4 linked regions of the Lepisosteus oculatus genome follow. The protein of the gene in region 2 purifies or fractionates together with the protein of the main gene of each other region. This does not show direct contact. Links are inferred from orthologs where the notes say so. Each region holds a gene or a part of one and is shown on either strand. Other genes may lie near its edges. The genes, in order: phf5a, sf3a1, prpf19 and snrpa.

Evidence for each region.
Region 1: the proteins of sf3a1 (region 2) and phf5a purify together in Homo sapiens (affinity purification with mass spectrometry; 3 studies listed by BioGRID and IntAct, with this or other methods). This does not show direct contact. The link is inferred for Lepisosteus oculatus from reciprocal best matches to the Homo sapiens genes SF3A1 and PHF5A.
Region 3: the proteins of sf3a1 (region 2) and prpf19 fractionate together in Homo sapiens (co-fractionation; 3 studies listed by BioGRID and IntAct, with this or other methods). This does not show direct contact. The link is inferred for Lepisosteus oculatus from reciprocal best matches to the Homo sapiens genes SF3A1 and PRPF19.
Region 4: the proteins of sf3a1 (region 2) and snrpa fractionate together in Homo sapiens (co-fractionation; 3 studies listed by BioGRID and IntAct, with this or other methods). This does not show direct contact. The link is inferred for Lepisosteus oculatus from reciprocal best matches to the Homo sapiens genes SF3A1 and SNRPA.

The regions. Positions count from the first base shown.
Region 1 is NC_090707.1:38,169,452-38,176,521, forward strand, and holds phf5a (PHD finger-like domain-containing protein 5A), read right to left. Parts: upstream 3,017-7,070; 5' UTR 2,873-3,016; coding exon 2,821-2,872; intron 2,237-2,820; coding exon 2,213-2,236; intron 1,672-2,212; coding exon 1,505-1,671; intron 525-1,504; coding exon 435-524; 3' UTR 300-434; downstream 1-299. Other genes in the region: aco2 (aconitate hydratase, mitochondrial), read left to right, coding at 3,498-3,533, 5,630-5,772, 5,897-6,155, 6,427-6,519, 6,617-6,775.
Region 2 is NC_090717.1:13,808,744-13,815,889, forward strand, and holds the start of sf3a1 (splicing factor 3A subunit 1), read left to right. Parts: upstream 1-4,128; 5' UTR 4,129-4,397; coding exon 4,398-4,445; intron 4,446-4,998; coding exon 4,999-5,108; intron 5,109-5,827; coding exon 5,828-6,041; intron 6,042-6,563; coding exon 6,564-6,821; intron 6,822-7,146. Other genes in the region: ccdc157 (coiled-coil domain-containing protein 157), read right to left, coding at 1-47, 852-1,099. UniProt on the Homo sapiens protein: Component of the 17S U2 SnRNP complex of the spliceosome, a large ribonucleoprotein complex that removes introns from transcribed pre-mRNAs.
Region 3 is NC_090701.1:41,961,598-41,968,996, forward strand, and holds the start of prpf19 (pre-mRNA-processing factor 19), read right to left. Parts: upstream 3,020-7,399; 5' UTR 2,853-3,019; coding exon 2,834-2,852; intron 2,191-2,833; coding exon 2,041-2,190; intron 283-2,040; coding exon 206-282; intron 21-205; coding exon 1-20. Other genes in the region: voltage-gated monoatomic cation channel TMEM109, read left to right, coding at 7,290-7,399. UniProt on the Homo sapiens protein: Ubiquitin-protein ligase which is a core component of several complexes mainly involved pre-mRNA splicing and DNA repair. Required for pre-mRNA splicing as component of the spliceosome.
Region 4 is NC_090698.1:2,559,344-2,566,562, reverse strand, and holds the start of snrpa (U1 small nuclear ribonucleoprotein A), read right to left. Parts: upstream 3,020-7,219; 5' UTR 2,910-3,019; intron 1,567-2,909; 5' UTR 1,553-1,566; coding exon 1,480-1,552; intron 877-1,479; coding exon 704-876; intron 1-703. Other genes in the region: actmap (actin maturation protease), read left to right, coding at 4,744-4,916, 5,542-5,610, 5,918-6,042, 6,471-6,600, 6,845-6,915. UniProt on the Homo sapiens protein: Component of the spliceosomal U1 snRNP, which is essential for recognition of the pre-mRNA 5' splice-site and the subsequent assembly of the spliceosome. U1 snRNP is the first snRNP to interact with pre-mRNA.

The sequences.
Region 1 (7,070 bases), on a different chromosome or scaffold from region 2:
CTGTCCAGTTCTGGTCCTGGAGGGTCAGTCAGTGTGTCTGCAGCAGGGCTGTCCAGTCCTGGTCCTGGAGGGGTCAGTCAGTGTGTCTGCAGGTTCTCTCTCTATAGCAGCAGCACCTGAAGAGCTGGGAGAAGCTGTTAAACTGGTCCAGTTAGGTCAATTATGAGCCGATTTGGCCTGTTAACAGTTCAGCTGGAATAAAACCCCGCAGACACACACCGCCCTCCGGGACCAGGACAGGCCACCCCTGGCCTTACCGCTAAACCCGCTTCGAACTAAACAGGACACTCGCGATTAAGCACAGTATAAAAACACCTTTATTACATTTAGAAAATCCTACACGTGTGAAAAAAAAAAAAGCAAGATCTTGGTTTGGACACCAGACTGGAGGCGGGACATCTGGACGTCTGGGCGCCCTCCCGACCTTTCCCCTTTCACCTCTTCTTGAATCCGTACTTCTTGCGCTCGTAGAAGAGGTCGGTCTTGGAGCTGCCCAGGTTCACGATCTTCGGACAGCCGTCTCTCTGCGGGACGGAGCAGAGCGAGGCAATCAGATTCATCGATGGCGAAACACCGGCCATGAGCCCCTTTGTCCGGCCTGGGGCAGGGGAACGGCTACGCTGGACCAGCGGGTCACCAGACGAGGGGGCGTTAACCTGCAGGATGGTGGCTCTGCAGGACCAAGGCTGCCGACTGCCGTCTAGATCGATTGATCACATGACACTATCCCAGTGGGAGGTCAGCGGTTCCCAGCCGCTGTCCAGGAGGAACACCTGTCTGCTGGTTTTCACCCAAGCTGGGCCCTAATCTCCTGCACTAACCGAGGACTAAACCGATCTGCGTGTATTAGACTTTCCTATAACTCATGTCTGCGGGCAGTCCTGAGTGTGACAAATACCCGCTTCAAGGGTCTTTTTCCCAGCAGCTTCAGCACACAGGACTTCACCGATCCTCTCCTCAAATTTCTTGCCAGTTTCTGACTCTTACTAGCTGATCTGTTGATGATGCACAGACAGTCTGAATAAAACTATCAGACACGCCCACACGGGGGTGTGACCCCATAATCTGACACCTGCAATTGGCTTTTTTCTTCCTCTCACAGGTGCAGTGGGTCACATTTCAGCACACCTGAACGAGGGAAGTTCTGTTTCTCGGAACCTGGCAGATCACACATCCCCCTCCACCCTGTAGGGGCTGAGAGCACATTCACATACATGTACACCCCAGACAGAAAACTGAAATCACAGAGTCTGTGTTTAAGAACTCAGCTGGAGAAAAACCCACAGAGCACAGAGGCTCCTTAATCTTGGTCCTGGAGGCCAGAAAGACGACTCGAACCTGTGAAGAGGGGAGCAAGCAGGCGCGAGACAGGACAGGGGCAGGACAGGGGCAGGACAGGGGCAGGACAGGGGCAGGACAGGGGCAGGACAGGGGCAGGACAGGGGCAGGACAGGGGCAGACCCAGTCTCCAAGGGGCGGGAGGATGCAGAGAGCGGGCACTCACGTCTTTCTCCTGGATGGTGCACTCCTTGCAGTAGTAGGCGTCCGAGACCCCCGGTCCCCCGCAGATCACACAGCGGCCCTGGTAGGAGCCATAGTTGCACTCGTCACAGATCCGCACCAGCGTGCAGGGCCGCACATAAGAGTCACAGATCACACACTTCCCATCACCTGAGAGAGAGAGAGAGGGGTTTATACAGACACACTGACTGGACACTCCAGTACATGAACACTGCACTGAGAGAGAGAGGGGTTCATACAGACACACTGACTGGACACTCCAGTACATTAACACTGCACTGAGAGAGAGAGGGGTTCATACACACACACTGACTGGACACTCCAGTACATGAACACTGCACTGAGAGAGAGAGGGGTTCATACAGACACACTGACTGGACACTCCAGTACATGAACACTGCACTGAGAGAGAGAGGGGTTCATACAGACACACTGACTGGACACTCCAGTACATGAACACTGTATTAACCTCTCTGTCAGTGCAGACATACTTACTGACTTTATTGTAAAAGATATTAAGAAAAATTATATATCTAAGAAAATAATTTGGTGAATTGTTTCTTTGGCCACACAGGTCGTAAAAAAAACTATAACACACTTGCCCCCCCAGCCAAGAAATTTTAATTCTGAAACCCTCAGTCTACAGATTTTCCCTCATAAAACACTAAGGTCACATAAATTTAGTACTTACATTTTTCACATAATCTTCCAATGGCTGCAATGACATGCAAAAATAAATGAGAAAGAAATTAGGACTCATTATCTATGAATATTAGAACGAAACCCAGCAATAATAATAAAACATTCCTAATTAGCCACCCTAATCATGATTTAATTACCATCTGAGTTAAAGTCCACTAAATTACAGTGAAACTACTTACTACCAACACTCATGCATTATTACAATCATTCCAGGACAGCTTACTGACGGCTGTCCTTTCAGGAAAACACGGTGCTGTAACTCGCCAATGAGCCCCGTGCCTTCCCCAACAGCAGATTCAGACATAACTTTCATATTGTGTTTCAAAAGTGGGTTACAGCAACACTCGCCAGCAAAATACAACAAAACACAACGACACTAGTATCTTGGTTCGGGATTGACGTTATTATAGAGTGTCCTAGGCAGTTTTTTTAAAAGTATTTCGTGTTACTAAACGGACATACCCGCGCAAGGACCTACTCGTTCAAACTTTAAACCGGCGCCCTGCGATCATATTATAAAGCACGTTGCCGCCTACATTCTGGGCATAGTAACTAAAAGAAAAAGAGTTGTTTTTAAATAGGAGCTCCCGTTCTTACCGACACCGGCTTGTTTTCTACAGAAGATCAAGTCAGGATGATGTTTAGCCATGTTGAGCTGTAGACAACGGCGCTGTGGCGCGTCTCACCTTTCACCTTTGAACTCAGCGTTGACCCTGTAGTTACGATATATTTTTTTATTAGTTATTTCAACTTTTTTCCACCTGACTGCGTTTTCTAAAGAAGGCCGCACCACCTGTTGTTCACAAAACCGTCTACAATTTCTTCATTTTAAGATTTTTATCTAGCACGCGATCTTTCATGCGGTTCCCGTAGCAACCAGCTCACATTTCTCCTCTCATTAAAATATTTTAAAATATTTTTTATTTACTAAGAAGTGAAAATGCTGCTTATCCCTTTTGTCCTGATTACGCTGCTTTTGTAATGACGTTCTGAGCGTTTAATAAAAGATTACTTGTAAACTTATCCTGGCAGTCGACTACAAACAAAAATGTTAATATGATTGAATACTGTGTGTATACGGACATATTTCCACAGATGTCATCAAAAATAGATTTTATAGTATTCGAGGTACTATTTCTTTCCAAAAATGACAAAAAGAAGATTCGAACATTAATATTTTATCTGTCTGCTAGGACAAACGTCAGCCCCCCGAGGCTATAAAATCGGGTGGCTCAACGTCATCCTCAAGCGACACATCTTTGTCAGTGAACAAAATGGCGTCCTACTGTCTAACCGTCAGCCGGCTTCAGGTGAGTGAATTTGAAATAACTCGTATTCCTATATTAATCGCTACTAGGTCTTATGGATTCCGACAGTTAGCCGCGTACGAACATAGAAGAGTCGGTCTGGAGGGATGTTATTGTTAGGAAATAAAAAGAATGTTAGAACCGTTGTCTCCCTCTCCTGACGTTAGGTCACGGTGTCCCCGTTGGAGTCTTGCGTGTAGCGGGTGATAAGCTGCCCCAGCAATAACAGACTGTTTAACGGCAAACACGGAGTACGGCTCAGTGAAAGGAAAACCATGGTTTAAATGGTTTTCACATCTGTCTAGCCCTGGGTGTGCCCGAGAAGCACCAGGAATGCCTCTGTCTGGGGGCTGCAAGGTGATCGCAAGGTTATTGAATTTGAAGTGCGCACTCCGAGCGTTTCTAACGGGGAACGCTTGTACTGTGGATCTCGCACTGGGACGGCATCCGCATTGATCTGGTTCAGCCTTAGCCAAAATACGGGATAAAAACCGTCGGCACTCATGGTGTACAATCGCATTCGGCGACGTGTCCAGTGTGTTAATTTGCTTTTAGGTCTTTTGTGATGCCAAAATTAAGCTTGGCTTTGATTATTGATAAAGGTGCATCGTTTGTCTCCTTTTCTGATTTTAGTTTTGCTTGCCACTTCATCTAGCTTGTGATAAATAATAAAGTACATGAATAAAAAATGGCTACAACCTCATACCCACGTTACCAGGTTTCAGTCTCATGAGTTGTTTTAATAGTTTTTATTTTGTGTCGTTTTTATGTGCTTTGTGTGGATCTGTCATTTTGATTTGTTTTCCCCATACTGAACAGATGTAAGTGTTATGAATTGTTAGCTCCTCTGAGTTTCTTTTTTGTGCAATTTATAACCCGTTAAAAAAAAAACGTTTTTTAAAAGAATCGCAGTCCCGTTCCACAGCAGGGCGCTCCACTCCGGGGTTTAGCAGGTGCTGGCACCTTATTCTGAGTCAACTGGTGTTGAGTTAAGTGAAGTTCAGTAACGACCATGTTGGGTTTTCTGCCTCGTTGTTTGACCCACGGGGTTCTGTAAGTTGTAAAACCCGAAACAGAAGTTTCCCTCTGTTCCTGTAGGGGACCGCACTGCATCCTGGGATTCTATCCTCCTCACGTCCCGGTCCCTTCATTCCTGAGTGCTGTTAATTTTCTCACTGGGCGTCGGACTTGATTTTGGCCCCCACATTTTCAAAGCATGTTGTAGATGATTCTTATTTCCTCCATGTCGACAGTATCTTTCAAAATCATCGCTCCTCTTTTCCTCCATTTCCTCTCCCCCCTCCTGGTCCGTCGCGCGCTGTGGGCCTCTGCTCGCGCCTCGGTGTCTCAAGGGAACGTCAAGGTGACGCCGGTGCCCTCTGTCTCGGTGTTGGGTTGCACTGCCAGCCCTGTGTGTTTACAGAGCAGCGAGCTCATTCCATCAGATGCATTGTTTGCAGTTTTAATTTACGCGCCCCTGTTCCTTGGGTTTAAGCCCTCTTTTCTCATGAGTCCTGATCTCGTCGTGGCCTGTACGCAGACTCTCTTCATTGCTGGCGGTCAGGGCATCCCCAAGGTCTTAATAAATTAAAGTTGACCAGGGTAAAAGGAAGAATCCGCCTCTTGACACTGCAGAACCTGTTGTCTGCTTTTATTCCTCTGCCCCCTTGATTGTGTTGCTAGTGGTTAACAGACTACTGTGTGAACATCACAGCCGGTAATACGTTATTTATTTATCCTTACTGATCATGTTTTCCACACTTTTTGAGCCACCCAGAAGGTCTTTGGGGGACTGTGCATTTCTCCTCCCGTATCACAGCTCTTGTATGCAAGTTAAGAAGTTAAGCCTCTGCCACCAGAGTCACAGTCCCAGTCTGGGATGAGCCCCTACAGCCCAGAGATCACAGCCAGGGTCCCAGTGCAGGATGAGCCCCTACAGCCCAGAGATCACAGCCAGGGTCCCAGTCCAGGATGAGCCCCTACAGCCCGGAGCCCCTAGTCTGTTTAAACATGATCTGGGAAAAAAAACTCCTGGAGCTGCCGAGTCTGTGTGGAACCGACCGTGGAAAGTGACTGCTCTGTGTGTGCTGTCTTCCCAGCATGCCCTGGGGCAGGGCGCGCGGCGGCTGCACGTGACGGCGGCCTTCAGCGCCAAGGCCAAGGTGTCCATGAGCCGCTTCGAGCCCGGGAGCTACATCGACTACGACAAGCTGCACCGGAACATCAACATCGTCCGCAAGAGGTGAGGGTCGTGCCCACCTGGGGGGGGGGGGGTCAGGCTGGACCCCCTTGTGGGTCCCTGGCGACGCCGCCCTTCCTTGCCCCGTCACGAACCTGTCCTTGTGGACCTCCTCCCCCCCCCCCAGGCTGGACCGGCCCCTCACCCTGTCCGAGAAGATCGTGTACGGTCACCTGGACGACCCGGCGGGGCAGGAGGTCGCCCGCGGCCGCACCTACCTGCGCCTGCGGCCCGACCGGGTGGCCATGCAGGACGCCACGGCGCAGATGGCCATGCTGCAGTTCATCAGCAGCGGCCTGCCCACGGTCGCCGTGCCCTCCACCATCCACTGCGACCACCTGATCGAGGCCCAGCTCGGGGGCGTGCAGGACCTGCAGAGGGCAAAGGTCAGCAGGGCAGCGGGAGGGGTGGGGGCTGGGAAGGGAGGGGGAAAGAGGCTGGGAAGGAGGTCTTCATCTTCCGTCGTCGGGTACCGCAGGAAGGCAAGATAGGAGAGGGGGGGTGGAGTGAGTGGGAGAAGTGTTATTCGGGTATCGGGACCTGTATGGGGGGGGGTGTTCGCGTGGGGTGTGCTTAGTCCCTGCCGTGGTTCTTTACAGGGGAGGGCGAAGAGGTGAAAAGCTAAACTGTTTTGCTCTTGTCTCTCTGGTGACCCAGGAAGTGAATCAGGAGGTGTATAACTTCCTGGCCAGTGCTGGGGCAAAGTACGGAGTGGGCTTCTGGAAGCCTGGCTCGGGAATCATCCACCAGGTAAATCTCGGATGCTGTTTTTTTTTTTTTAAATATAGATTTATACGCTCTCTCTGCTTTCTTCCACTGACGTTTCCACCCTCTCGCCCCCTCGCAGATCATCCTGGAGAACTACGCCTTCCCCGGCGCGATGCTGATCGGCACCGACTCCCACACGCCCAACGGGGGCGGGCTGGGGGCCGTGTGCATCGGGGTGGGCGGGGCCGACGCCGTCGACGTCATGGCGGGGATCCCCTGGGAGCTCAAGTGCCCCAACGTGAGTGATGTTCCTCTCCCTCCCCGCCCCCACGGGCCGCCCAGCAGCCCTGTCTGTCCGCTGCCGAACCACTCTGTCCGGGGCAGGAGGGTCGCGGGGGAGCTGGAGACTATCCCAGCAAGCACTGGGTGCAAGGCAGGACACACCCCGGACAGGACACCAGTCATCACAGGACTCACGCACTCACGCAGAATCCCAGAATCCAATTAACCCACCAGCATGTTGGTGACCCCCGCGGTCGATAGTGGCAGGCAGGAGGGGGTGACCCCGGTGGTCGATAGTGGCAGGCAGGAGG
Region 2 (7,146 bases):
GCATGCCCTCGGTGAAGCCACTGAAACTCTGCAGCAGCAGCACCAGCCTGGCAGCACAGACAACATCACTGCCTGTAAGTGGAACTCACACCATCACGCCTACAACACACACCAGCAGACACGGGCTGACACTTGGCAACAGATGTTGAGTTCTTGCTTTTTCAGTGCTCTGATGCTTTTTTTGTTTCTTTCACATGATTGCTGAGATGAACACTGTTAAAGGAGTAATATCCCCTGCTGAGAGAGAAACAATCAGACAGAGCAGCAGCAGGGCTCTGAGCTTATTGGGGTACTGCAAAGACACCTCAAAATCACATTTTTTACACTACAATCATTTGGTAAGTTAGGAAAGTAATGTGCTAATAAAGCAGTAATACCACCTTCAGATATTGTTTTGAAAAAGTCAAATGTTATTATTTATTACATTTGTTATTGATACAGATTTAAAATGTATTACAAGGACAAAGATCAAGAGGGACACCTCAGCAATCTTGTACTGGGCCTCCATTGTACTGAGCTACATTAGTATCGTAAATATTCAGTTGAAATTGTAGAAACATAAAGTACTTACTTAAAACAAAGGTGGGGGAACAGAATTAATTTCAAATTCACCGAAGGTTTTCACTTTTCATAGGGATTGCTTCGTATTAAACTCAAAATTAGTCTGTTTCCAATTTGAAAGCCACACTTTTTCTATCAAAGGCAACTCACTGCTGCCACCCAGTACAAGAAGCAGGAAGACAACACTTTGCGTTTATTTGAGCTCTCACTTTCTCAACTAAGTGTGTGGGTTATTCATAAAGGCTTAGTAAATACTGTGTGGACATGAAGTAGAAGGAACAGAACCTTACCTGTCCACAACCAGCTCCAGCAGCACGATATGGGAGTGCTGGTTGAACTCCTCCTCACCCTCCACAAAGTCATACTGCTCCAGGAGGGTCACCAGGTCTAGGTTACAGGACAGCTTGTCGGGGAACTTCCAGGAGGGACTGCGGATCGGGCCGGTGCGGGAGAACACATCCAGGACCGTGCCCTGGAGGTCAGTCAGGTCCCTCCGCAGGCTGTCCACGCAGTCCTGCCGGCCCAGCAGGTGGCTCATCTTCCCCAGCCTCCCAGTCTGCTGTCGCTCTCCAACCCTTCGAAGAAGCGTTTGCCAGCTGAGACCGAGTGCTGAGATGCACACAACAGCCCAGACCTCCACAGCCTCATGGTCTTCAGCGCTACTTCCCTAACACCCTTGACAACTGAAGACGGGTCTTTTTTCTGTTTTCTTTTCCTTTCAGCAGGAATAACCCTTTACCTGTTACTCTGCAGCCTGCGCAAGCCGACGCAGCTCCCTGCTGGAACTTCTACCTCCCTAACTCTTATTAAACGCTATTTTGATCCCTTTCGATTTTTCTAACCCAACAATAATCTTCTCATTTTTAAATCTATGCTACTTAATGCATCATGACTACTGTAATAATTTGCAATCCAGGCCCTAGAGGAGTACTGAAATTGGATCTAGACAGGAGCCTGTAGGTTTTATGGGAAAAACAAACTCTTCTATTACTAAAGGCTTGGAAACAATTGTAATTAAGACCAATTAATTGCGTTTTTCTTAATTGATTGATTGTCATTAAGCAGTCAGTGAGGAATGGAAACCAGAGGACCTTATAGCTTGCCAGGGCCAAGAGACAGAATCACTGTACTAGTGCATTCTCCACAATGTTTAGGAGTTTAAATATCAAAATGCATCAATGATCATCAATACAGATAGGCTTGATGGGAGAGGGGCAAGGGCTGCAGTACTGATTTGGGAAGCACTGCTGTGAAAGAGTACAAGGCTTTTGTTTTAATAAAAATACCTGACCGTCTAATTAAGTGGTTTTAGTCATGGTTGCAAAGAGCACCTGTGTCTTCTGGGTTTGACTAACTCAGTTTTGCATTACTTAACTGAATACTTGAGCTGTGTCCCTAAGTGCTCAAAACGATTGGAAATGTCTTAATGAGACAATTGTTAGTTCAATGTAGCCTCAATGACAAAGAGCAAAGCTGAAATGAAAGCCAGAAAAGACATCAGACCAAAACACACAAAACAAAACAAAGGCACAATAGACATATCTGACAAAACTAAATAAGGCATTTATTTAGGCAGGACCTACTATAACAAGTTGAGTCGATAATAGAGTACAACTATGAAACTGTATTGTTGAATCAAAACCTTCTGGCTGCTATCGCATATTAGTGTGGTGGATTGAAATTGAATACAGTCATGGCATGACTCAGTTGAATGTACTGTAAAGCAACGTATTGTTAAGAAGAGCTAACAAATTAATTAATATAAATAATAATCACAAAATCCATTAAGAGTAGAGTTACTTACCAGGATTACACTCCTCAGGCTCTTGTGACCCCTTTATATACATGTGATTGCTTCATTAGAGTATAAGTATAACTGAAGTTTCCTCCTTTAACATGCTCTAAAAAAGTATCATTTTCAGATTACTTACAAGTTTCGAATGGTAAATTGAAAACCCCAGAGCTGCAGTTCTGAAGACTATCAAAAAACCTAGAAGGAACAGTGAAATGTGAATTAAACCCAAGGGCACAAGTGGAGCCTACATGCATTTAAAACTGAGAACTGGAGGCCCTTCACTACGCAAAGGGTTGTGGAAGTAGTCTCCTGGTTAAATGTGGGGTAAATTAAATAATCACAAAATCAGACCGAACAAAACTCAGCACACACTGGAGTCATTAGAAACAGGGCTGACACTTGAGTCGGCAGTCTTCAGAGATTTACAGTAAGTCACAGCTCTCCGTTCAACATTCAGCTTGGTGACCATCGCTCTCGAAGTCACCAAAAAAGAAAAAAAGCAGACAAGCCAATGCACTTGCAGAAATCATGCTCCTGCTGCCGACACACAGTAAAAAATCAGATGATACATCAAGAAACACTTACTTGTCCTTACTCTATGGTCATTGCTAGAGCTTTCGTGTTTTTGCTCTTCTGTTTTCAGTTCGATGAAATACAGCGAAACGTCCCTGTTTTATTTGATCGTTATGCTCTTGAAATCCTCAAGCTTCCATCTGTTGTCCCCTATTTCCATGGAAACAACGGACAGGAAGTCGCCTGAGGATGACGTCATCTGAAACTCCAGCTGTCGAGCCATTTTATCAGGAGGCACTGGCTCGGACATTATTTGATTGCTAAGAATGACAACAGTTATAACGTAGCCTTTTTATCCAAGGCGACCTATAATTATATTCAGAATTATAGTGCCACGGAATTTTGAACTGGCCTTAATATTAATTTTGTTAGCTTTTCGCTTGTTTTTGTTTCTGTAAACGTGTATACATTTAATATTTTTTTAATATATATATATGTGTGCGGTTGGTAGCTCAGGATAAGGGCGCCTACAAAATTAAGACAAACATAAATAACTGTAAACATTATTTTTAATTTTGCAAAAACACACTGAAGAGCAGTAAATAGTTAACTGTTATTTAATGAAAAGCAACGACAGAAACAGTGAAGGCTGTGGAAACTATGGCGATACTGAGATGAAAAATATATTTCAAATATGTGGTACACAGGAAATTGCAATTGCTTGCAAGTCCAGCAGCCATATCACCCTGCAACTCACAACTGGCAACCCACTGAAGCTAAGCAGGTGTGAGCCTGGTTAGTACCTGGATAGGAGACCTCCTTGGAAAGCTAAGGCTGCTGCTGGAAGAGGTGTTAGTGGGGCCAGCAGGGGGCGCTCACCCTGCGGTCCATGTGGGTCCTAATGCCTCAGTATAGTGACGGGGACACTACACTGTAAACAGGTGCCGTCCTTCGGATGAGACGTAAAACCGAGATCCTGGCTCTTTGTGGTCATTAAAAATCTCAGGGCGTTTTTCGAAAAGAGTAGGGGTGTAACCCCGGCCTGGCCAAATTTCCCATTGGACCTTACCTAATAATCCCCCTTTATGATTTGGCTACATTACTTGTTCAGGCGCACTATAGCTGCCGTCGCATCATCCAGGTGGATGCTGCACATTGGTGGTGGAGGGGATCCCCATTACCTGTAAAGCGCTTTGAGTGGAGTGTCCAGAAAAGCGCAATATTAGTGTAAGCAATTATTATTATTAAGTCGGCCATCAGAGAACTGCATTTCCCACAATCCCAAGCGAGGGGCACTCCGGAAGAGGAGCTCCTTTCGTTTCCGGGTTACGAGAGTTACGCGAAACGAGTTCTTCGTTGCGGGCTGTAAACGAGGCCTTTTATATTTAAACATTACTGTTCCGTTCGATTCCATAATACGGCGAATCGAAGATACAAGGAAAAATTGGATTCAGTAGTCCGAGGACGCAAGTGATTCACCAAGACACGGAAACGCGGGTGTTTGGGTTGTCTTCGGCCCAGCACAGCCATGCCTGCCGGACCGGTGCAGATCGTGCAGCCGGAAACCAACAATAAGGTAACGGGTAGCTGCGAAGCGCTGCGGGCCTAAGTACGTGGTTTACCCGGGGTAAAACTGTACATACAAAAACAGCTACAAAAACTGTGTTCTGGTCCACGCAACGTGTCCATAGTAACTTCAGATCCAAAGAGTTTTGTTTTCTAATATTCCTGTAAAGAAACTTGTCGGTTTACATTCGCGCTCAGTGCAAATACATGTTCTGGGAGTTTTACCCTTGAGCTAAGAACTTTTCTCAGTGTAAAACAAGTCGGGTGCTTTTGGGTAGACCTGTGGAAGTCATCCGTAATTCGGGGGGATAATTGTAATATCTTCTGCGCGATAATAGTATACTGGGATGGTTGAGCCACACGAATACTAAACTCTAACTGTGCAAGAACGGGCGTGCTGCGAAGTTGACCGCCTGTGTTTTGGGGTTTTGAGATTTCGCTGTTTTTACATTTCGCGGTGTAGTGTCACAATGCATTGAAGAACTACACCCAGCAGTGTCTCTTTGCAGGCGGTGGATGTGACCTGTAGCCCTCAGTATCGGATTAATGTTCTGTTTTCACAGGTCGATGAAGCGAAAGAGGAATCGCCGGCTTCCAAGCCCATCGTGGGCATCATCTACCCCCCTCCGGAGGTCCGGAACATCGTCGATAAGACAGCCAGCTTTGTAGCCAGGTAGGCTGTTTCTTCTGATAACTTGGCAGCTCTCTCGATGCACCAGGTGGCACTATATTTAATTCTCTAAAAGAAAAAAAAAACACATTTTGGAACCATGATGGATGTACTAAATAGTTCTCTATTGTGTGTTGAGGTGTTTCTGAGGATTTCACTATAGGTACAACAGAACCCAGCGAGCCAGGTCCTGGGTCCCATTTAAAAAAATGATTATTACATTTGTAAAGGCAGATGTATTCTTAGAGGAACAATACAAAATCCATATGGCAAAAACAAAGATAACCAAACAAAAATGCATTTTGGAGTTAATGCAAAGTTGAACATGAGCTTTGAATTCAGCAAAACAAAAATTGCTCTTTTCTTTAATGAAGGTATCCATAACATAGCTGCATTTGTCGAAGTTCCAGGCGACTCTGAACTGAACGACTTGACTTGAAAAGATAGATGCATGTGGCTCCTCTTGGGAATTAGGTGCTGTCTCTCAGCTACAGCTGCTCCCTGCTCTGAGCTGCACAGCGCAGTGAATCCTGCTGCACTCAACGAGTGGCCTCCCACCGTGGGAGACTTGAGCACAGTTGGTGTCCTGTGGGGTCACGTCACCATAACAAGCTCACTGATTGAACCCTCGTGCAATATGCTGCAAGCCATTGTTGTTTCTGAACTCGCCCTGTAAGGGCATCTACGATTCCAGCATCCATTCCTTTCCTCTACCCTTGCAGAAACGGACCGGAGTTTGAGGCGAGGATTCGGCAGAACGAGATCAACAACCCCAAGTTCAACTTCCTGAACCCCAACGACCCCTACCATGCCTACTACCGGCACAAGGTCAACGAGTTCAAGGAGGGGAAGGCGCAGGAGCCCTCGGCCGCCGTGCCCAAGGTCATGCAGCAGCAGGCCCTGCAGCAGGCGCCCCAGCAGCAGCTCCCGCAGAAGGTAGGCTCGGGGGACCCCCTCCGCCCCCCACACTCGGAGACGACCTCGTGCTTTGTAACTAAGCGCAGTGGGCCTTGAGGCTCGGAAGGAACGAAGTCGTTGTGGATTTTGATTGTTCTGTTCTTGTCCCTTGAGTTCCGCAGGTTCGTTTTAATGGGTTTTTGAAAGCAGAACAAAAAAACGTGTTGTCAGTCAGTTTGTGATGCAACCAAATGGAACTTATAGGACTTGACTTTTAATAGGTGCATCAGAAGTGCTGTTGTTTCTTCACCACTGAACAGATGGTCACATCCTATGAGGCATTTCACCCTTTCAGGAAGAGCAAATCTCTATAGCTTGCCAAGTGAACAAAGATAATTTATTGATATGTTTATATGAGCCCCGTAAGTGGCTAAAAGTTATTTAGTTTCTGATCCATACATTATGGCTTGAACAGACTACTGATTTAACGCGATCCAATACACCGCAACAAGTGCAGAACGGTGTTCCCAAGCCCAGCTAACAGCTTCGCATCTTTGCAAGGTGCAAGCGCAGGTGATCCAAGAAACCGTGGTGCCGAAGGAGCCTCCCCCCGAGTACGAGTTCATCGCCGACCCCCCCTCCATCTCGGCCTTTGACCTGGATGTGGTGAAGCTCACGGCGCAGTTTGTTGCGCGCAACGGGCGGCAGTTCCTCACCCAGCTCATGCAGAAGGAGCAGCGCAACTACCAGTTCGACTTCCTGCGGCCCCAGCACAGCCTCTTCAACTACTTCACCAAGCTGGTGGAGCAGTACACCAAGGTAGAGGGAGCGCTCTCCTTCTGTATTATGACATTTATTTTATGCTTCTTCTGTTAAGGTATTTAATGACGTTGTAGTGACAGGAACTACAGTCAGTGATATAATTTCATAGATTATGTACTGTAGCAGCCCACTTTCATAAGTATGGACTCAAGCTGTGTGTGAGCAGTTCTATCCAGGTGTTCATTACTTCATGGACAATATATAAGATACTTCTTCCATCCCTTTTCAGTACCTTCTCAAAGCTCATCTTTTCACCACAGCCTGAAACCTTTGCATTGCTATGTATCGTATACAGACCCATTCACTGTTGTTTAATGCATTT
Region 3 (7,399 bases), on a different chromosome or scaffold from region 2:
CTGTGCAGCATCACTGCATCCTGAAAGACAGACAGTGGAGTTACTACAGCAAATAAAACACGACAGACCCTCACTGGACACTCCAGTACATTAACACTGAGAGAGAGGGGTTAATACAGTCCAGACACACTGACTGGACACTCCAGTACATTAACACTGCACTGAGAGAGGGGTTAATACAGTCCAGACACACTGAGAAACTCACCCACTCATCCTGTAGTGCCTTGAGAATGGCAGGAATACTGGTTGCAGACGGAGCCTTGGGCCTGATGGGGTGAGAGACTGAAAGAGAGAGAGGGTGGTTAATAGAGACGGTCCCTCTGGAACTCGACAGGTCCTGCTGACACCAGCAGTGGGAGCTCCGCGCATCAGGATCTCGATTCCTTCAGCACAGAAATCAGAAACTGTTTGGACTGTACTTAATGGGTTTTTTTTCTGAAGTCTCTAGCAGTACACAAGGCTTGCTTCTGCATAAGCCAAGAACACAAATAAGACCCCAAGGCTCAGACACCAGGGACCTGGAACAAACTTCTTTCTTCACTAAAGCTAGTTTACGAGTGGGAGTGGGAGTGTGAGTGTAAAACAAACCGCCCTGCTATGACGTTGAAGCCGATACCCTGGACTCTTTAAAGAAACTGCAGGCCGAGATCCTCGGATCAGTTAGTAAGTAGAAGGGTTGGACGGGAAAGGAATCATGATATACATGCATTTGTTCCAGTGGAAGTGTTCAGTCCAACATGAAGGCTCCAATGCAGCACTTCCAGGGGCGAAAGAAGCTACAGCTCTCCCTGCCCCTGCTGGGATTAGACCCCAGCAGCTCTCGGCCGCTGCGGAGACAGGGGATAACTCCACGGCCGAGTCTGACACTGTGCACGAGTCAGAAGGGGCTGAGCACTCCGAGCCCCGCTACATCAGCAGGAACAGCAAGCACGCGTGTGCTTTCAGGTCTGCCGACAGCCTTCCCCGGCCGTGCAGGAGGACACGATGTTGTGCGGAAAAGGACCCTTCCCCGCGCTGCTCGGCTAGATCCACCTCTCCCAGGACGTAGCTCCCTACCGGGTCAGCCATGCGGTAGAACACAGTGCTGAGGTTCATCTTTCACGCCTCCTACAGCAGCGAGCTGCTCAGGCATCCCAGCAGTGCAGCGTGGGAGATGGCAAGACACACCTCACCTTTGATGTCCACGAGCTGCTCTTCAGACAGCAGCTGGACAGCAGACGAGGTTGGGGTTAGGGTTAGACTGACAGCAGACACACAGAATCCTCACCCTTGATGTCTACAAGCTGCTCTTCAGCAGCTGGACAGCACTGGGGCTGGGATTAGGGTTAGATTGACAGCAGACACACAGAAGCCTCACTCTTGATCTCCAACAGATGGACAGCACTGGGGCTGGGATTAGTGATAGAGGGACAGCAGACACACAGAAGCCTCACCCTTGATGTCCAGCAGATGGACAGCACTGGGGCTGGGATTAGGGCTAGAGTGACAGCAGACACACAGAAGCCTCACCCTTGATGTCCAGCAGCTGGACAGCACTGGGGCTGGGATTAGTGATAGAGGGACAGCAGACACACAGAAGCCTCACCCTTGATGTCCAGCAGCTGGACAGCACTGGGGCTGGGATTAGGGCTAGAGGGACAGCAGACACACAGAGGCCTCACCCTTGATGTCCAGCAGCTGGACAGCACTGGGTTGGGATTAGTGATAGAGTGACAGCAGACACACAGAAGCCTCACCCTTGATGTCCAGCAGCTGGACAGCACTGGGGCTGGGATTAGGGCTAGAGGGACAGCAGACAAACAGAAGCCTCACCCTTGATGTCCAGCAGCTGGACAGCACTGGGGCTGGGATTAGTGATAGAGGGACAGCAGACACACAGAAGCCTCACCCTTGATGTCCAGCAGCTGGACAGCACTGGGGCTGGGATTAGTGATAGAGGGACAGCAGACACACAGAGGCCTCACCCTTGATGTCCAGCAGCTGGACAGCACTGGGGCTGGGATTAGTGATAGAGGGACAGCAGACACACAGAAGCCTCACCCTTGATGTCCACCAGCTGCTCCTCGGACAGCGGCTGGCCGGTGATGGGGTCAGCGCCGTTCTCCGCGATGTACTTCTCGATCAGCCGCCGCTCGAACACCTGGTTGGACACCGGGGACACGCAGGGGTGCTCCGGCACCTCGTGACAGACTGGGGGAGAGCAAGACGGAGTCAGTGTCCACTGAAGTTCACACAACCCCCCCTCCCACGGCAACACAGACACGGCTGTTAACCCACGAGGGTAACGGCCTCTCTGAAAATCATCCGGGAAAACAAAAGCAGTCGTCTTTGAACGTCTGCATCAGGCCCTGCGGCGCACAAACCCGCCTGTGCCCAGGCAGCAGGTACTGTTACCATCAGAACTGCAAGGCCAGAGGACCCTTGCACAGCTCCCTTCTCGAGTGGGGGAGCCTCACGCAGGACTGTGGGCTCACACGTGCAGTGGCACAATCCTGCCGCCGCCGATGTTACTTTTAGGCAGAAAAACCCGTCTCAATAAGCAGCGATGAGGCGCAGAGACTGCAACACGGGAGAGAAACGAACTTCCGTCACCTCCCCCGACCCACACTCCCACCTCACCTCAACTCAACTCGCGCACCCAAAACATTCCCAGAAACACAGGCTTTTTCTACACAACACACGAAACCCACGCTACTGCTGCTACTATCGGCAAATTCACGATGTGTATCGCCGCAAGCCCTGGAAAACTCGACTGCGTGCCGACATTTACAACGCGTCTTTACTTCACAATGAAACTCTTTTTTTCCGAGCTTTCCCGGCGGCCAGGACTTACTAGCACAAACGAAAGACATGATTCAAACCCTCCAGCCAACAACGGAATCGGGTGCTGGAGATCTCCGCTGTCCTTTCGGTAGATTTGATTTATTTTTTACACACTTGCCCCAGCGAATTACAACTCTGCAACAACACGCCGCGCGACTTAGTACCGCCGCGGCGCGCTCGGCATGCTGGGATAGCTTCCGAGAGCTCCCGGTCCTCCAGCCCCGCCTTCTCCCACATCTTGACCAATGACAGGTGTTCTTACTCGGCGCGATGCTCCTCCGACACCGCCCATTTGACAAATTGAGCCAATCCACAGGCGAATCACGACTTACAGGCCCGCCTCCTTCTGGGTCGAGAGAAAGGTTGTCGTTAGAGCGCCAGGTACTCTCATTTTCATTGGCTAAAAGAAATTTCTGTTAGCAGTATGCGACTAGAGTGGGAAAGCCAGTGAACGTGTGAGCTTGCAGGCCATCCTAAGAAATGTTACGTCTAACCCATTGGGTTGGTAGAAGCTATTAGCACTACAATCCCATCCAGCTGTTTCTTGAAAGAAACCAAGTGTGGAACAAGTGGCCCAGTTCAGCTGAGTTCGCTTGTCTTATGCACGAGTGCAATGAAATGCTTGTTTGCATGTATGCTCCAATACAAAGACATTGAGGAAACACCAAAATATAAACACAGAACAGCAGTGAAGTGAAATCACATACAATTTAAAATACAAGTCAGCACAAGAAATGTGGAAAAAAAACGTCAGTATGAGTCAGTGGTAGAGGTAGAATTGAATAATCTGAAGTAGTTCAGGTGGGGAGCTGCGTCAGCATGCGTAGGCTGCAATGGAACAAGTAATAGGTTTATTCCATGCTGAAAAGAGAAGAGAGAAAACGCAACGTTTCGGCACCTGAAGAAGGCTCAACGGCCGAAACATTGTGTCTTCTTTCTTCTCTTTTCAGCATGGATTGAATAATCTGACAGTTTGCAGGGAAGAAAGTGTCTCTGAATGTGGAGGAGGTTCGTGACTTTATGCTCCTGTAACGCTTACCAGCGGAAAGGGGGAAGAAACCAGGATAATTAATAATAATAATTGCTTACACTTATATAGCGCTTTTCTGGACACTCCACTCAAAGCGCTTTACAGGTAATGGGGACTCCCCTCCACCACCACCAATGTGCAGCATCCACCTGGATGATGCAACGGCAGCCATAGTGCGCCAGAACGCTCCCCACACATCAGCTATCAGTGGGGAGGAGAGCAGAGTAATGTAGCCAATTCATAGAGGGGGATTATTAGGAGGCCATGATTGATAAGGGCCAATGGGAAATTTGGCCAGGACGCCGGGGTTACACCCCTACTCTTTTCAAGAAACGCCCTGGGATTTTTAATGACCACAGAGAGTCAGGACCTCGGTTTTACATCTCATCCGAAGGACGGGGCCTGTTTACAGTACAGTGTCCCCGTCAATATACTGGGGCATTAGGACCCACGTGGACCACAGGGTGAGCGCCCCCTACTGGCCCCACTAACACCTCTTCCAGCAGCAACCTTAGTTTTTCCCAGGAGGTCTCCCATCCAGGTTCTGACCAGGCTCACACCTGCTTAGCTTCAGTGGGTTGCCAGTTGTGAGTTGCAGGGTGATATGGCTGCTATGTATGATGTATGAGTTGCAGGATGATTTGTATCCACTGATGTCGTTGAAGCCGATACTCTGGCTTCTCTCAAGAACCTGGACGAGGTCCTGCAGTCAGGTCAAGAGGCATGTCTTTACACAAAGGGCGGTGGGAGTGTGGAACAAGCTTCCCAGCCATGATGTTAAAACCAATACACTGGTTTCTGGATGCTGGATGAAATCCTGGGATCAACTAGCTCCTAACTACCCAACAGGGGGCGAACCGGTGGCTCTGTGGCTAAGGATATGCTCCTGTGGCTGGAAGGTTGCCGGTTCAAATCCCGCAGCCGGCAGAGGAATCCTACTCAGTTGGGCCCCTGAGCAAGACCCTTAACCCCAACTGCTCCAGGGGTGCCGTATAAATAGCTGACCCTATGGAAATATGAAATAATGAAATATAAAAGCTCCCTGTCTGTGTGTCTCATGGAGAGCAAGCTGGGGTATGGGAAAAGACAAATGCAAGAAATTGTATATGGCCAATAAAGTGGTCTTATCTGAAATCTGGTCTTGGGTCGGTGTGGGGGAGAGACACACAGGTCCCCTCACAGTGAGCATTCTCAGTCGAGTGAACGAGAAGTGCACACGGGCCTCTCGATTCCAACAGTCCTCCTGTTCTCACTGACGCCCCCTCCTGCCTCGCAGAGCCTGATCGCAGCCGCCGTCTCCAGCCCCCGTCCGCGGAGGACAGAGCTCAGCTCCGCTTGCAGTTCAAAGACTTTAAAGGGGTCACCCAAAACCACAGACACAGAACAGCAGCCACAGCCACAAACCCAGTCACCTCACACGCAGCTTAAATACAGGTCTGAATGAGCACATCAGGGTGAGCCAGTGACGGGGAGGAGAGGGGGGTCGGTGAAGATGCTGAGCAGTTTCGGGGCTCGGCGGTGGGGCGCCCCGTGAGGTTTCTTCCAGTTTGTTCACAATTACGATCCGTGGGTGAGCAAGAGAGTCCAACCCGCTCTTCCAAACCAGGAACCCCCTCTTCCTCGGGGGAGCACAGGGCCCGAGAGGGCAGGGCAGGGCAGGGTGGGGAGATCAGGACGCCGGAAAGCTCGGTGCGGGGAAGCAGGTGGCCGAGGGTGGCACCAGGGTGGCATGGCAGTGCCCCGCAGCCCAGGGCCTGACTGCAGGAGGGCAGTGCAGTGTGTAACGGCACAGCTGGCTGACTCGTGACCCAGAGGTGCTGTACGCAGTGTGTGAATTAAAGCCAGGGGCCCTCGGGTCAGGACCCGCACGGGTTGGGAAGTCTGTTAAGACGGGGGCGGCGGAGGCGCGGAGGCAGTTTTGCAGGATCGGTGTGAGAGCCCCGCTATCGCGTGGCAGAGATCTAACCTCCCGGGAGGTTATAATAATAATAGTAATAATGATAATAATAATTGCTTGCACTTATATAGCACTTTTCTGGACACTCCACTCAAAGCGCTTTACAGGTAATGGGGACTCCCCTCCACCACCACCAATGTGCAGCATCCACCTGGATGATGCGACAGCAGCCATAGTGCGCCACAACGTTCACCACACATCAGCTCTCAGTGGGGAGGAGAGCAGAGTAATGTAGCCAATTCATAGAGGGGGATTATTAGGAGGCCATGATTGATAAGGGCCAATGGGAAATTTGGCCAAGACGCCGGGGTTACACCCCTACTCTTTTCGAGAAACGTCCTGGGATTTTTAACTGCAGAGAGTCGGGACCTCGGTTTTACGTCTCATACATCTCACAGAATATGTTGTAGTCCTGTACTGGACGCTGTCCATTTGCCATTAGGGAATGACAATAATAAAGTTTACTTTGGAATTCAATTGCACACAAACTACAACTCCCGAAATGCAACGGTGCTCCAACGCCCCTCGCCAGGCACGGGCTTGGCTCCAATTTAACATGCATACTGTGTGAGTCACTCCGCTTTAGTCTGGCGGGTAGGGCGGGGCGGGGTGGCTCAGGTCGTTTAAGGAGATACAGCTCAGCAGAAGGCTTCTAACATTGTAGCGGTAACTAATATTAGCGATAGGAGCGTCCTAAACATTGCCCGTGTTTGCTCGCTTAGTTAGCCGAACTTTTAATTGCTTCGCTGTTTTAACTCGCTTTTTCCGATATCGTCAGCCTTTAATTAAAAAAAAATATTACTTCTTTAAAACAGCAACAAGTAGTTAAACCCGGATCGAAAGCTACATTAAGGAGCCCTCGTTTGGACTGAAGACAGACCTCCATTTGCACAAAACTCTCTTCTCCAGCGCCAGCTGTGTATTTTTTTAAAGATATCTATTTTTAGCCGCAGAAGGTCGCGGCTTAATGTGGTGTTTTAGATTTCAGTGCGACTTTATTTTATCTCCCAGTGAACTGTGCCTTCGTGTGGCTCAGCAGTCCAGACAAGGTTGTGCAGGCTGTGACAGAGGCGCATCTTATACCAGGATATATCATTTTTAATAAAATACATAAATCGCCGCTGAGTTTCAGTTGATGTTCTAAGTTTTTCGGGAGTCTTTTTAGCAACCTTTTCGTCGTCTTAGATTTAATCTTCTACAACCTGGTTTAACTGGGAAACGAGCGCGGCCTCTGGACTGCAGATACTTCATGAGGGAGAGCTGGTTCACTCGCACTTGAAGAGGTTCCTTTAAAATTGGATTTAAACTTCTATTATTGCGAGACAGCTGTGCGTTTTCTAAAAAAAAGGGTTGCTCTCTGATGAGTAACATTCTCAGCTTTACGTGCTAAGCAGGGCGGACGGGGCTCAACTCCAGGTTTTAAATCGCGAACTCGCCCGTCGGCTGTGTTGGAGTCCCGATCTCGGACAGGTGCTGGCGATGGCTTTGTACCCGCTCCGGAGACCCTTCGCTGTGCTGCTGGCGGTGCTGTGCGCGGCCCTACCGGCCTGTCTCGGGCAGCCCGGGCCGGCCGGGGAGAGTCGGGGAGC
Region 4 (7,219 bases), on a different chromosome or scaffold from region 2:
GAAATATGGACTCACACTGTAAACTCAAGAGTCTTACTGACCCTGACGCACTGTGCGATTTGTTAAAAACGATAACAGAATTAACAGACAACTGCTTCAGCTTGCTAATCAAAAGATGAGACTGCAGGTTAACAAATGCAGAGCTGAAGTCAACAAACAGCTGTCGGGCAAAGGGATCGGGGGTCCTCTAGGTGTTTAAAACAATGTGTAATGCTGTTAATTTCATCAGCACTGCTCCATCAGCATTTATATACAAACCGCTCCCACTGAGTGTTCACATCTGAGCAGAGCACAGATACCGTCATTCTTTCAAACCAATTTATTACGATGGAGGTCAGTGCAACAGATGAACAACATCACATCCATCCATTTTCTAAACCACTTTATCCGAGACAGGATCTCAGGGAAACTGGAACCCACACCCGCAAACAACAGGCGCAAGGAGGGCTACACCCTGGGCAGGACGAAAATCATGCGAGAGGAAACAGTGCCGTGCCTGCCTAGTTTTACTCTGGTGCTTTTTTAACACCTGGGTCGTGCACTCCCGACAAATTCCTGCTTTCATCTGAGAACTTTTACAGTGAAAACCACAACTCCCTAATAAGGACCACAACTCCCTAATAAGGACCACAACCCCCCCACCACATGCGCAGCACAAGAAAAGCCACGCTTGCAAGCGAGCGCCGCGGACAGCGGGCCCTACCATGGGCTTGTCGTAGAAGGGGAAGCCCTGCATGGAGCGCAGGGCGTTGGAGGCGCTGTTGACTTCTTTGAAGATGACGAAGGCCTGGCCCCTCATCCTCAGCGAGCGCGACACCAGGATGTCCAGGATCTGGCCGAACTGCGAGAAGATGGCGTACAGGGACTTCTTCAGCTCTGCAAGAAAAGCAAGCCGCCTGAGAAAACCAGGCAGGCCAAGACCTCCCCTCCACACACTAGCGCCCGAGTGATGATCTTTACATCAGCTCCTGTTAATCACTGGAAACTCCTTGCATTCAGAAAAAAAAAACACATGAAAGATCACAAATGGGGGGTTACAAGACACAGCCCATTTAGTAGTCAGTAGCTAACTGATGACAGGACCTCATCTGGCGGTTTCCTGAGAATCCAGGGTATCATCAAACCACATGGCTGGGTAGCCTGTTACACACTCCCACCCCCCTGTTTGTAAAGGACAAAGCCATGATAAATCACAGGGAATTATTTTACTGTTACACACAAGAGCTGGTGCAACACTGGCCTCCCTCAGGCCCATCTGCGCCAGACATCACCCAGAGGCCCACTATCCAGCAGACCCAACCTCCCGTCACACGTCAACACTGCTGCAATCACACACGTCCCAGTCAGAAACACAACATCGACGCGGTTCTGATCCGGGGGCCATCCGCCCTGCTTGAACAAACGGGGCAGACGGGTGGAGAGCCCTCCTCACACGTCACCTCTCCCCTGCGACACGAGGGGTCTGCTGGGGGCACCTACCATCCTTCTTGATCTTCTCGTTGAGGTTGTTGATGTAGATGGTGTGGTTCGGGCGAAGCTCCTGCATAGCCATGGCCGCTGAGGACACTGGGAAAGAAAGAGCACAGCTCAGAACCCGGTCCCTTCTGCTACACAGCTGCACGAAACCAGAATCGTCACTTTTTGGATGAACAAGACGATTTCTGTGTACTATGTAATAATGAGAAGGAATCTTCGTCACATTTGTTTGTTAACTGCATATATACAAAACTGTTTTGGACAGATCTGCAAAATGTTATTGCTCAACATGTAAAGGCAAATGTTAAATCGAAAGATTTTGATATTATTTTATATTTCGTTAGAACTGGTTTGGAAAAAAGGATATGTTTTTATTATTAATGTTAATTATTTGGCAAAATATTTTATCCACACATGTAAATGCTCTAATACTGTTCCCTCTATTCATGCTTTTAAACTTGAATTCCTTTTTTATTTAAATCCTGTTAGAAATAAACTTACAAGAAAGACATACAATGGAAATATCTAATTTTTAGTGTTTACAATTGTGAATTCCTCTCGCTTTGAAGTGCGTATTTCTGTATATATTTCATTTATTCTGTCTCCTTTTTTTTTGTATTTCTGGTGTTCAAATAAAAACTTATTTAAAAACAAAAAAGCTGCACGAAACCAGGAGCTCAAGGAGGAACGGACTCCCTCCGATCCGGGCCAGATCTCCCCACGTCCCCCAGTCGCCCTAAACATGAACCGCTCTCACACAAACCCCCTCAAAGGGACAGCCTACTGGGACACTAAGAAATATGGGTTTTATTTTTTTTACCCTCGCCTCCATCTTCTGGCAAATTCAACTGCTCTCGATACCAAGGAGCAAAGATCGGGCATCGTTAACACGGGCTCAGAACCGAGCCCCCCCCGGGTCAACGGGTTTTAGCGGAGGGAAAGTCGCCCGACTCCCCCCCTCTCTTTCGGAACACGAAGGACACGGTTCAGGCTGTCCCGCTTCCAGATCATGAGCCCGGGGGTTTCACTCGGTGGATCACACCCCCAGCCCGGTTATTCCGGCAGTGAGGTATCCAAACAACAGGACCGCCAGCGCCCACCAGAACCGCCTCAATACACGCGCAAAAATTCAAATTTTACTGCGATTTTTTTTCATTATTTCGCAAAAAATCCCCTCAAAACGGCCGAACGCCTTTGGAGCTCTGGCGACGATTACGAAGTTAATAGTTTTGTACAAACAACCGCGAATCAGATCCGCCCAGCGAATGAACGGTTTCGGGATTACGCCCGAGTCGGGCTCCTTTATTTAATTAAATCACCGCCACGCTTCATAAAAACAAAAATACTCCCTGTTGTTCATCGCACGATCACCAAACTGACTAAAGAATATAAAATAATTACACGATGGCTCGTTTACAAAAGGATTTACTTACGGATTGTTTAAAATCGGCTCCCGGTTGCGGCCTACTCCCTCGACTCGCCTGGACTTCCTTGCGCTCGGGCGACCATGGAGACTAACTGCTAGCAGCTGCCCTGTAATTTGCCAGCTCCCTGCCAATCACTCCATAAACACCGCCTACCTGTTAACGTTCCTTAACGCGATTGGAGGCGAAAGCTAGAGCAGCTCTCGATTGGACACATGTACAGTATATCCCACCCACCCGGTCTCTGATTCTAGTTCTGATTGGACAATCTGTCCGACATGCTTCTTACACGCGCTTACGATGCCATTTTGGCGCTAAGAAGGAGTTGGTTTTGCCTTTCTTTTTAATCGCTGGGTAGAGCCAAAATGACGAATGATTATCTGCAGTTTCACAGAGGGCTTGATTCGCCTTGACTTGACGGTGTGTTACGCCGGGTGTCACAGTAAAAATATTCCCGACTTGGACCCGACGATTTCCATGGGTAAGTATTTGATAGCTCGTTAAGCCTAGAATTGATTAGACAGTAAATACAGTTCTGGCCGGTTTCTGCGTGTGTGAAGGAATGCATTTGATAAAAATGTTTCCAAGATAGCTGTAGTTGCGCGTTGATTTACCTTGGTAATTATAAAAGACGACGCATCCCGCGAAGTTTTTTTTTAAATAAAATTGCAAATACTTTTATGATTGGCCAGAAATAGCCAGTTTCACGAGTTCCACTGACGTTTAAAGGAAGGTGTGCTGATCGTGGCAGGTTTTTTTCATATACATTTTTGCAAATTCTGACTTAAACCTTTTTAATTATACAATGATTGTAAAACTCACCGTATTGCACACATCAAAATGGAAAACAATAGTTTTTTTTAATTGTTTTGTTTAAACCAGCTAAAAAGTGCAGCAATACAAAAGTTCCAACTTCATTTAACTAGCCAGTGATGGTACATTTGTTTATTGTCTATTTTTAATCCCTGCCCAAATCGGGGAGCCCCTCTGTCCCTGACGCGCTGCACGCGAGCTGCGTCCGGGCACGTGCTCCCTGGGACTGCACGAATAAACTTCTTCGCTTGCGAGTCTGTGAAGAATTTTATTTCCGCTCCGTATGTTTCATCCCAGCCGCTGGCTAGGGCTAGTGGTGGTCTTTTATAAGATTATTAAAGTGACCGTTCAATATGAGAAAAGGGTGACTGAAGTTGGCTTTAAGGTAAGGGTGCTGTACCTTAAACTTGATGAGGGTCAGAACCCTGGAGTCCTTTACAGAAGCACAGGGCACAAGGCGGGGCCACACCGTGAACAGGATGGGATAATTATCATTGTCGTTAATGACACTTATACTGCACTTTCCACCCCAGAGGAACATTTAGGTGCACTCACCTGCAGGACAGACAGTTGCCTCACTATTCACAGATGAGGCGGAGGAGAGAGAAACTGCTGAGAGGACATTAGGAGGAACTGCAGGGAGGCCAGGCTGGAGAGCAGCCCTGCGGACAGTGTCCTCTCTCTACTGACCGATCAGGCAGGACCTCAGGTGGACACGAGCACCTCTTCCCAAACAGGGTCCCCAGCTTTCATACTGGGGCACTGCCTTGGAGACACCTGTCCAGAGGGAATATCGCCACCTACTGGTCCACCAACACCACTGACAGCAGCAGCCTGGCTTCCCTTAGACGTCTCCCACCCCAATACTAGCCAGGCCAGCCCTTGCTCGCCTCGAGCCTGTATCTGGGGCCCCGCACTGCTCGTTCGCGTTTCGCGGCTGCAGACGGGCAGACATTTTGTGTATTTGCGTCGGCGTCCTTCACCGGTCCGGTCGCTCTTCACCACAGACCCCTGAAGGGAAATCACGGCCATGAGCACCCCGACTCTCGTGGCTCCGCCGCCCCCCCCTGCTCCCCCGCCGCCCCCCCCGGCCCCCGCCTGCCCAGGGAAGAAGAAGCTGTACCAGGCCATCGCCGCAGGAAAGGCCCCGGTCTCGGGAGACTACGAGGAGGCCCGGCTGCTTCTCCGGCAGAGACAGGACAGGTAGGAAGGGAGCAGTGCTGCCCGAATGACTGTGGCCAAACCCAGAGGCCCGAACTCACAACCCATTTTCTCAAACTGCGCGATTTCAAAGGATGAGAATTCGGAGGAGACTGAGACCTGTACAGATCTGAGCAAAACAGGAGTATGCGAAAGCCATCCCGTATTTCTGAGCTTGCTAGAGACACATGGGTATTGATAATGTAATAATAATAATATTTCTTCATTAGCCCTATATAGTTTCTTGCATTAGGAATTCATCTTTTCGCAGACCCCAGCTTGCTCTCCATGAGACACACAGACAGGGAGAGAAGCTGGGGGTCAGAGCGCAGGGTCAGCCATTGTACAGCGCTCCTGGAGCAGCTGGGGTGAAAGGCCTTGCTCAGGGGCCCAGCAGAGTAGGTTTCCTCTGTTGGCCACGGGATTTGAACCGGCAACCTTCCAGTCACAGGCGCAGATCCTGAGCCACAGAGCCACCGCTCCGCCCTAAACTTTAAATATTAAAGATAAAATAAATATTGGCCTGCAGCATTCCCTTCTCTTTCAGATGCAATTTCACTTGCGCTGGAGAATGTATTTTTTTTTACTGGATGTGCGGATTAGAAACGAGGATGTGTTCCTTCTGCAGTTTCCGGAGAGACCTGCAGTGGGTGCTGTTCAATAAGTATGTGCCATCGCTGATCCAGGATGGGCCACAGTGAGTATTCCTCGCCCCCGGCCTGGGTGGACATTTAGACATGAGTGTCTGGTCAGGGAGGTTTGGGTACGTTAAATATGCTGAATTATTTTGAGTTAGAAGAAAGAAATATTTAGCACTTGCACCACTCAGATCGTAGTCCGAATACCAGTGTGACAGAGGGGGGCGCTGTGCTGGTTGGCCGACTGCGATACTTTGCAGTCTGCGCTGGAGCAGAAGCAGTGTGTTAGTGACGAGGTGAGGTTTTGGGGGCGAACGTGCATTGGGGTGTCTCTTTCCGGGGTGACAGTGGGGGTTTGCCGCACAGGTGTGGGCTGGTGGCTCTGTGGATGGCCGGGCACCTCCTGCAGGGGCCCACACCCCTGCCTCTGGAGCAGATCGTGGCCCGAGCCCTGGGGAGAGGGTACACCGCCCAGGGAGAGATGTTCTCAGGTGAGCCGCCCCCTCGACTGACCCACAGTGTCCGTTCTCCCATTTCCTACCGTCCACTACTCTCGCAGCTGGACCGAAGGCTGTGAAAATGAGCAACTCTGATAGCGGAGGTGCGGTCCAACGGGGACACAACACTGTGCACGACACTGAGCAGACTCCCAACATGCGCGTCTGGTCTCGTGACCTTGTGTGATCTCCGAGGGGGGGCAGGTGCCCCCACAGACCGTGAAGATGCAAACGGAAGTGCCGTTGGGCACCAGGTGTCCAAAACGAAGACAACACATTTTTACAGTTTCAAATCGGGCAGTTAGAAAAACAGCTCAGAGCTGCTCCGTGGGTAAGGCTGTAGGGTCTTGTTCCCAGGGTACCTCCCTGGGCCCTCGGTGCCGCTCCTGTCACCCCCTGTCCTCTCCTCTCCCTCCCCCCAGCCCAGGCCATGGCCCTGCTGGCGGAGGAGCTGTACGGCGGAGCTGCGGAGCTGCTGAGCGGAGGCCTGAGGGGAGAGAATGAGATGCGCGTCATAGGGCACCTCGCCGCCGGCCAGCCCCTCCTCGTCCCGTATCCTTCGCTGGCAAGAGCCCCCCTCTGGGCACGACCACTGCCGCTGACGGCGCCCCGTAGCCCAACCGCATGTGGCCAAAGTGTGGGCACCTTGTAATGTCAGTCACCCCAGCCCAGTCATCGATCGGTGATCCCCTTTACACGTTGCCACAAAGATTCGACAGTAGTCAGGACGTAACTGACCCAGTGACCCAGCTCTGCAGCACCGCCTGAAGGATTCCTTGACTCCCACGTCTGGAAGCTACGATGAGGATTTCAACCACGAGCCGTGCCTGCGGAACGGGCACCGGGCGCACTGGGCCGTGGTCTCAGGTGAGAGAGCAGCCGCCGCGGGGCAGTGCGCCAGCCCCGAGCCCCCCCCGAAACCCCAGGAGTTCGCAGGCATTCTTGGGGTATTTAAATCAACGCTGGCTCCTTATAAATGTTAAAAATCGGACCCGTTAAAGTTGAGCTCGTTCTGAGGTGTAATGAGATGGAATAGAACCCCAGGCTCTGCAGTCCCCCAAGACTGGAGCTCTCAGGCCACTGCTGCAATCATAACAAGGTCACTCTGCTTTTCCAGCTGGTTCACTAAACCAGGAGTCTTCAGAGGGAACGTTGTTGCCTGTTGTAGAGG